Linked DNA regions of Arabidopsis thaliana. The protein of the gene in region 2 interacts with the protein of the main gene of each other region in a pairwise test. Each region holds a gene or a part of one and is shown on either strand. Other genes may lie near its edges.

Region 1 (4,259 bases), on a different chromosome or scaffold from region 2:
TTTGAGGTCTAATCGTATATTCCAGTGTTTTGAGTTTGATAATGTATAAATGTAAAATAAGCCTTTCTTGTGTGAGAGTCTGTTCACCTCTAATATTAATCGCTCACTAGGATCATATATATGTAAACATACCTTAATAAGATCGATTATGAATGATCAAAAGCATGACAATATACATTTCAGAAGCGTGCAAGCCACTAGAGGTGCATTCACGAGATTCCAACTAAGAGATTCCCTAACCAAAGTAGCTGTCTTAAGATTCTATTTATATATATTCACGAACCGAGAAGAAGTGAAGTAGTGAACATGCTTTTATTAGAAACATGGAATATTATATCTAACAAAAAAAACATGGAATAATTATAGAACTTAATCAGTATTAGTTGTTGTTGAATTTGATATTTATTGCTAGTCTTATTCATTTATACTATATTTTTCCACCATTATAATTCCAGTAGTTCAATGATCCTCCAATGTAACAGTAACTAATTTACATATAAAGCTCACGTATCTAGAAAGAAACTCACTTACTAGTTTTGAGCTTTTCGTGTAACATAGAACCATACATTCATTATAGAGGAAAATAAACCCTATTATTTCGGATAAACAAAAGTAATCACAAATTTCATTCCAAAATGGATTTTTAAAATTAATAAATACCAAAGACAAAACAAAAAATCACGAATTGTATGAACCTTGATACCCACCTCAATGATCAGAATTACTTAATTAGTCCTATTCCAAAATCCAAATTCATATTATGAACTGCATTATCATCATAATCGTAACTCTCTCAATCTCAAAGCCCATCATCAACCATCACCACACGTGTGAAACCATCTCAAGTAAAAATCGAACTTGCGAATTCCTTATGAAAAAATAAAAACAACCCTTTACGTTGGCCGCCACGCACTAGCCCAAACCACCGGCTGATCTCTCCAACAAAGGAATATTCCGGCGGCATCAGGACACTGTACCATCGACCAAACACCTTCTTTATATCTCCTCAACAAAGCTCTGACATCATCCGCCACCTCATCACTATACCCCACCGCTCCAAACCCACTATTCCTCATCCTCCTCGACCACTTCCTCGCTGTCTCTCGCCTCTCCGTGGAATCCGACGGCTCACAAGCCACAAGATCAACGATCGCACGTCCCGCTGCACGCTCTAGCATCAACCTCTCGTTGCTCGTCCTTGGAAAACTCTCTTCCCATGACTCGAAGCAAACCCTAAACCATCGTAAACATTCTCCAAACCCTCTCAAGAACTCATCATCAAAGCCACCTTCTTCTTCTCCGACAAGATCAGCTTCTTCTTCTACGACCGTCACAATCCTCGGTCTTAACCGTCGGAAACTCGATATCACAGCGTCTCTAGGGCTTCCACGTGAAGCGATCCCATGCATCGCGCCTACGCAGTTAATGGCCAAGACTTCGTCTGGTTTAACGTCGAGTTCGTTGAGATCAAACTCAGATAAATCTCCAACGTGATGAATAATGTTAAATTTGAAAGGAACTCCCATAAGCCTAGCGAATTTCTCCATTCGGTTTCCGATCTCTTTCATCATCCGATGCGACGCCGTTTGATCGTTGACAAACTTGTTGGCCACGACAACTGTGGTTAGCCTTAGGTGAGGCGTGTCGTCTGATCTTGTGGCTAAAGCTTCTAGAAGAGTCGGCCATTGAGTGCAAAACGTGGAGCTTATGTCAACGATGTGGATCTTTGCCTCTCCGTCTACTGCTTCCAAGATTGCTCCGTTTGCCGCCACGTGTCCAAACGTGGCCCAGGGGCTAACTTCTTGGAACTTTAGTACAGTTTTTCGCGTTGACTCGAAGGAGCAAGTCTTCTCTGTGGCTGCAGCTGTTACCATGGTTCGGTAGCATCGTTCGCCTGAACCGGTCATGCGGTTGAAGAGAGCTTGGAGGAAGTAAGAAGCCAGTTTTTGCTCGGTGTCTCCGTACGGAGAAGAGAGCTCGTTGAGCGTCCATAGGATTTGTTGCGCACGTGCAGTGTCTTTGTCGGAGAAGGCACGTGCCGCTTCAAGAAGGACCGAGTCTGCCCACTTGGCATTGGCTGAGAAGTCGAAGGACGGAGGAGTTTGAGGTATGGAGAACGCGGAAGGGTCATTATGGTGGCCGGAGGAGGAGTAAGGCGAGGCTAAAGCTGCGGCTGCGGCGGTGGAGGAAGGGGTTGATGATGTGGCGGGATGGTATTGGGTGGGAGTAGTGAAAGGAGAGTAGTAAGTATTAGGATTGTTGTGGTTGTGATGGTTGTGGTGAGAAGAAGAAGAGGAAAGGTCTTCTTCATCCATGAAAAAGTTGAAGCATTCTTCGACGACGTCGTTTTGTGGAAAGTTGTAGTGATAAGCAGTTTGTGGAGAGCCAGTAGTGGTGGTGGAAGTTCTGCTTAACGAAGATTGATTTGTAATGATACTATCGGATTGTTGTTGTTGTTGGAGACTGACTAGTCTAAAGAGAGTATCCATTTTTTTTTTTTAATGAATAAGAAAATGAATAGAAGAAAGGGAGACCCACAATATCTAAGATTTAATACTTTGTTGTGTATATTGCATCAGCATCATGTGTTGTCTTGTATATTTATATATGTATATTTTTTTTCTTGTGTTTCTCGGTGGGAGTGGGTAAATCTAGATGAAGGTGAGTTGTAGAGAATGGGTTTGGTGGATTTGTGAGTTTTTATTAGTAATTTAAAAGACTAGAGAATAAAAAAAGAGCATGAAAAGAGGATTTTTTGCATCGAATTGTTGTCCCATGTTTATCTTTTGGACTTTGTAGACTGTTTGAATCTAATTGGGTTTAGTGAAAACATAATTAGAGAGAGAAGAGACCACTTTTGAACAATATTCTTCTCTCTCTTTATTTTTTGGGGCAAATCAAGAATGTGTTTTGTTTTTACTACAACCCTATAGCTAACTGAGATTTTGGACAAAAATAATGATCCTACTTTTTGCAGTAATATTTGTTTCTACTGAAAAATGTTGATTTAACTTACGAAAAATTACAGAGCAAATATATTTTCTAGTTACAAAATATCAACAATATCTTATATAATTTTCTTTATTCTACATGGGAGTGTATTAGTTAGATAGTTTGGAGGTTTCATTAAGTAGAAAAAAGTCCTGAGAAAAATAAAATAAAGAGGAAAAAGATAAGAAGGTCGATATCATGTAATGGCTTAGTGGGTTTCGCTTTTTCTTCTTTTGTTTTCACATCGATCCACCCAAGTAACCTTCCCTCTTATTTCTTCTTCAAAATAAAATTTATAAATACATATCTCTCTCATGCAATATTGTAGGAGTAGTAGCACTTACGTGGATCGTTCATCATATGAATTTGAAAACGACATGCATGTTATATATACTTACAGATATGGCGTAAAATTCCGAAAAAAATCCGTATATAATTACGATGTTTGTTTATATATAGGCCAAATACATGAAACCAACCAAGTGTTTCAAGTACTATCGATCCCAAGTCTCAACTGGTGTAAAATAAAAAGACTCTTTACGCATCCTAAATCAACAGACTAACAAAAAAGTTAGAATGTCCTACTAATACCAATTCTAACCAATCAAAACACCAAACTCATAATCGTTTTAGACATTCCGCGACTACGTTACTATCAACACTGGTGCATGAAAACTCTATTTTCTCTTAATCGATTATTTTTAAGAAATTAGTGTAAGAGTTCTGAACGCTCTGAATTTTTGACATCAATAATCAAGAAATTAAACGTTGACCAACAAAACAATGCTAATTAAAGAATTTCAGATCCAGACTAATTTTCAAAACATGTGAAAAGCTAGCATCTACAATGAACAAGTAGATTGAAATTGCAAAAGTTTCATGACCATTTTGTATGATACCTATAAGATATATACATGATATATAAATACTTAAGTGGTCACCATTTACATAGTAACATAGAGACATGTGAATATAATTATAAAATAGAGAGAGAATGTTCATAGGTGTGAGTGAGTGGGAGCAGGCGTGAAGAAAAGCTGACGGCGTGCATCAACATCATCAAAGCTCCACATTTGCCTTTGCCTCCTAACCTCTCTCCATTCTCTGCCACTATTTTTCCCTTTTCTCTCTTCTTCTCCATATATACCTCTTTACTATTTTAGATTTTCTCAAATATTACTATTTTTTTTTCTTCACATTTACCCGTAAGAAACCAACCAATGTGTCATATTCTCTTACCTTATATAAACAGCAATGTGTAATTATTA
Region 2 (5,002 bases):
GTCTCTCTGAATTAGTATGGTGCCATACAACTGGATGTTCCGAACATGCGCTGCAGCGATTCATCACGGTGGCAGGTAAAAATGTCACATGGATATCTTTTCTTGGTGAGCATGGACACACATATAAATAGACGTGAACTGATTTTTTCTTGTCTTTCTATATGAATTGTGTCCCCTGTGGAAATCAGCGGTTCTGTTGCTGCAGCATTACAGGCTGGAATCCCGCAGGTTTGTGTTTGTATGTTAGTTTATTAGATCTTTGATATATAAGGGTAAAACTAATTGTTTGTCGAGAAGGATCAGTAGAAATATAGCTGTACAGTAACCAGTACATCAGAAGAACATGTCATGGTCCTTCAATAAACTTTATTGCTATATGATTACTCAGCCAAAAACTTTACTAGTAATTTTGCTCATAAACCATAGTTTTGTGCACTGCTTGGTTACAAAATGATGATTAACGTTCTTAAAGCGTTATCCATTTCAAGTTGTAATGCCAAAAAGTGACCACATAATGTGTGTATATGTCTTTTTACAGATCATATGCCCATTTATGCTGGATCAGTTCTATTGGGCAGAAAAGATGTCTTGGCTTGGAGTTGCTCCTCAACCATTGAAAAGAAACCACCTGCTTCTAGAGGACTCAAATGATGAGAAGAACATCACGGAAGCTGCACAAGTGGTAGCGAAAGCCATATACGATGCACTGTCTGCAAAGACTAGGGCTCGTGCCATGGAAATTGCTGAAATATTATCTCTTGAGGTAACTATTTACGATCAGTTTACTATTCTTCTCCTCCTGATCCATGCCCCCAGAATCAAAGTATCCTTTCTTCACATGGAGTTTTTCTTTTCTTTTCGATGTAGCGTAGTCTTTTCTCTTTCATAGTTTTGAGTAATTTCTGGCAACTGGTAGTTTTAAGGTATCCAAAAATTAATGATTTCAGGATGGAGTCACAGAAGCTGTGAGAGTGCTTAGAGAAGAGGTGTGTGTAGTTTCAGGCAGCAACCGAATATTTTGATGAGCATTGTCATATATACAACGTAAAGCTCATATCAAGTGATGGTGATCAATGCCCTACCGATTGTTGGCATCCATAAATTTAACGTCTATTAATGTTACCAAGTCTCCATCTGTCCCAATATAAAAGACGTTTAAGGATTTTCTCTTTTATTCCATTTTATTAGTTTTCTCTAGTTTCTATGTACAATTTATATCATTTTATGACTACTTAAATTGTACAATATTTATTTCTATTAGTTGAAATTTTATAAATGAAAAAACATCTATGATTTCTTTATCTTTGGATTAAAATATATAAGACATCATATAATTGTTTTCCATTTAACTAAAATCAGTTTTAGAGATTTGAATGTTTTAAAAAGTTTGTGATTTTTTTTTTTTTTTGTGGGTCAAAAGAGTGCTAACTTTATTATATCATATAGAGCCATTACAAACTAGTACAAGCCTGAAAGTTTAGCGGGAGACTCAAACCCGAGAGTTTACGAGAAGCCTAAAGAGAATTACAAACAAAAGACACACAAAAATGGGTAAAACATACCCACATAACTAAGTTTTTAAACGATCTTAGCAAACTGGAAAGAAACAGATCAAACTAACAAGGAACTAATAGTAAGAGAAATTCCAATACAAAATAAAATACTAAGAAGAGAAAAACTGAATCTCTCGCTTAACCATCATCCCCATTAACCTTTACATTTAACGTGTGACATGGCGAAGCCATGAGTGCAATCCCATCAACCCACAATCAACCCGAAACTTCTACAAGAGCCTCAAACATCGAAGCCATGAGTCCCAAAAATTTGCGAGTTTCAAATCCCTTAAATAAGAGCCAATTAGCGTATTAGCCGGTTAGCGTAATCAAATTTGCAAAAATTGGGAAATTTTGGTCTGACCCGGTTCGGTTTGAAAGGTACGAAACCGAAAGAAATATTCGTCTTGTGATTGTGAAGAAGAAAGAAGACAAGTCTTTGTTTCGTCGACGGGAAAGAAAAACCCTACGATATTCCTCGACTCGTTTACACTTCTCCGACCACCGTCTCTTTCCTTCTTCTCCCGACGGAGTAAAATTCGTTATCGCGTTTTGAATCACCGGATTATGAAATAGCGATTGAAAGATGCTTGAAGGATATGTGCAAGGATTTGTGAACCTGTTGTTAGGGTACTTAGGTCGTTACATTAAAGACATCCAGAAAGACCAGCTCAAGATCTCACTCTGGAATGGTATTTTCACCGTCTTCTCTTTCCATTTTCCGTTTCAACGAACACCACAATCTCCCACTGTATTTGATGATTTACGCACAATTTCTTGCTTCTAACTGCAGGAGAAGTCTTATTGGAGAACGTGGAATTGAATCCTGAGGCGTTTGAGTATTTGCAGCTTCCAATTGCTCTCAAGCAAGGTGATAGTTAGTGGATTGAAGTTTCGATTCTGTCAGCTTTTTTTCGTTTTCTCGGGATCAAATCGTTTATTGTTTATATAGGCCGTGTTGGGAAATTGAGCATTAAAATTCCATGGAAGAAACTTCATAGGGATCCTGTAACCATTATGATTGAAGATGTCTTTATATGTGCATCGCAACGCAATGATCAAGAGGTGATTACTCTTGTTTAGTAGCCCTTTTCTACATGAAAGTGTTTGCCTCTAAAACCATATATGTATATTGCTTGGTCATTGCAGTGGAGTTCAGATGTCGTTGAGAAAAGAGAGTTTGCTGGTAAGAAAGCTAAACTTGCTTCTGCAGAACTGGCAAAATTGTCCAGGCGTGTCTTCGGTGAGCAAATATACTTCTTGTCCTACAAAATTTATCTTTCCTATACAAAATTTGTTGAGTTCCTTCATTTTTTTTCCCAGACAATCCAGGCGGAAATTCTTATATGTCATATATTACTGCCAAGGTAACATTACGTTCCGCAATCCTCCTTTTGCTACCTCTAGTTAATCATCTTACATTTTTCATATTATGATTGATCTGTTACTGGTTTTTAGTAGATCTTCCTGATTTTGGATGAGGTTATCAATCTTATTTATTTTATTTTTTTCTACTATGTTAACGTTCCTTCTTTCTTGGCTTAGATTCTTGATAGCGTTCAAGTGTCCATCAAAAATTTTCACATCTTATACTCAGATGCACAACCTGAATCGGTAAGTCTCTTGCTTGTTCAGTTTAATTAGTTTGCTAGAATATAGGCTTGTATTTTGTTATCCTCCCATTGATATTGTTGAAACTTATATACATCGATCATATCGTAGTATTGGTTTGTTTGTGAGAGCATAGCATTTATCATGGAGGATATGTATCTAGATAGAGTCAAATATATTTGAGCATTGTGATGCTAAACTACTATCAGTCTTTCTTGTGATTCACTAGAATATAACTTGAATAATCGTTTGGTGTTGTCTACTTTCCCACTTTCATATGTTTTTACTCTAAACTGCTGTCACAGGGGCAAGTTGTATTAGGATTGCGGTTTTCAAGCTTGACAGTTACTAAACAAAACTCAGTTGGGTAATCTCTTTATGCACCTTCTCTTGCACTTTTAAATGTACTCCACTTTGTGTTTGATTCCGAGCTTTGCTTTATATATGGCAAGGATATGTTCTTTGAATTACATTGTGAGACAGCAGAGAGCAGACCCCGCATTAATTTCTTTCCAGTTGCCTTGTTTCTTCTATGTCACTTAATATATATTCTAGTTTCGTATTTGATTCCTTGTAGCTTTGCTTTATTCTATTGGTTTGGCGATACCCCATTATAACTTTCTTCCAACTGTCTCTTTTCTTACTGTAAAATCTCCTTAAACCTGTTTTTTCCATAAGCTAAATTATTGTTGATAAGACAAGACCTGTGGTGGATATATGTGCTTCCTGAAATATTTGACATGATGTCTCTGTTGAATATCAGGCCATCAGTTGGTAGGGTGAGAGGGGGGCAAGTGAATATACTTGTGGAGGTTGAAGGTTTGGAAATATATTGTGACATGTATGAGGGAAACATGGACTTTCCAAGTGTTAATGAAAAAATAGGTTTTGACAATTGGTGCCAGTCAAGATTGCAAAGCAATAGATTTGGTTATTTACTGAAGCCAGTCCATGTTTCTGTAACGCTATTGGTAATGGATCTAAAACAGCGTCATTGGTTTGCTGTCTCTTAACATCTTTTGTTATCATCTAATCTTTGTTGCTGCTTCAAGGTGCTACATCCTTGCTCTTGCTTTAGGGTTATGTTAAAAATGAGATGTACACATTTATATGTTATATCTGCCGTACTGAGTCTTGATTTACCTGATGGCCTACGAAATTTTGATGACATATTAATCAATCAATGTTATCAGAAAGGATTTGCATAACATTTTTGCCAATTCGTTTATATGTCACCATCAGCTCCATATGGACATTGTGTTTGGTGAAAGATTTTTACAGCTATCTGATCAATGATACAATATTTATACAGAAAGTAAATTGGTCTATGCATCAGCTATTGCTTGAGTGCATTTTTGTGCTGTATGTAAATAGGCATTCTTCATTTTGCCTGATATACTTCTTTGCATAGGTCAATCGATCTGGAGAGCTTTATGACGATCTTCCTCAGTATTCTATCAGCGCTGAGTTGACTGATGTGGTTAGTTCTCAGAAATTGCTAAACTAGGTTCAGAGCTCAGATTTATTTACCATTTCATGACTCACTCTAACTTCCAATTGGCACTGATGCGTTTTAGGTGGTGACTCTGAATGAATTTCAATTGCAGCAGATTCTTATTCTGTTAGATTATTTGCAAACCAGCCAGTTGCGTGAGAGGTAAGCTTTCATTAGGGTAGCGATAATTTTTCCTCAATTCAAACTTTTTTTCCTCCTGAGATTTAGCTCTATTATTGGATACTACAGAACGTTTTTTTGAAGAACTACTGATTAAAGAACCTTTTAAATGGTATAGGTATGGGCGGTATCGTCCCTGCTCCACTTCTTTATCGAGGAAACC

Evidence for each region. The genes of interacting proteins can lie anywhere in the genome.
Region 1: the proteins of AT5G24740 (region 2) and SHR interact in a protein complementation assay, tested with the Arabidopsis thaliana proteins (one study listed by BioGRID).

Annotation. Positions count from the first base shown.
Region 1 is NC_003075.7:17,690,101-17,694,359, reverse strand, and holds SHR (GRAS family transcription factor), read right to left. Parts: upstream 2,674-4,259; 5' UTR 2,490-2,673; coding exon 894-2,489; 3' UTR 501-893; downstream 1-500. UniProt on the Arabidopsis thaliana protein: Transcription factor required for quiescent center cells specification and maintenance of surrounding stem cells, and for the asymmetric cell division involved in radial pattern formation in roots. Essential for both cell division and cell specification.
Region 2 is NC_003076.8:8,486,841-8,491,842, reverse strand, and holds the start of AT5G24740 (vacuolar protein sorting-associated protein, putative (DUF1162)), read left to right. Parts: upstream 1-1,975; 5' UTR 1,976-2,139; coding exon 2,140-2,245; intron 2,246-2,346; coding exon 2,347-2,424; intron 2,425-2,505; coding exon 2,506-2,618; intron 2,619-2,702; coding exon 2,703-2,796; intron 2,797-2,876; coding exon 2,877-2,920; intron 2,921-3,098; coding exon 3,099-3,167; intron 3,168-3,469; coding exon 3,470-3,531; intron 3,532-3,819; exon of another isoform or gene 3,820-3,904; coding exon of another isoform or gene 3,905-3,927; coding exon 3,928-4,135; intron 4,136-4,575; coding exon 4,576-4,644; intron 4,645-4,741; coding exon 4,742-4,821; intron 4,822-4,957; coding exon 4,958-5,002. Other genes in the region: AT5G24750 (UDP-Glycosyltransferase superfamily protein), read left to right, coding at 16-75, 189-228, 539-763, 948-1,022.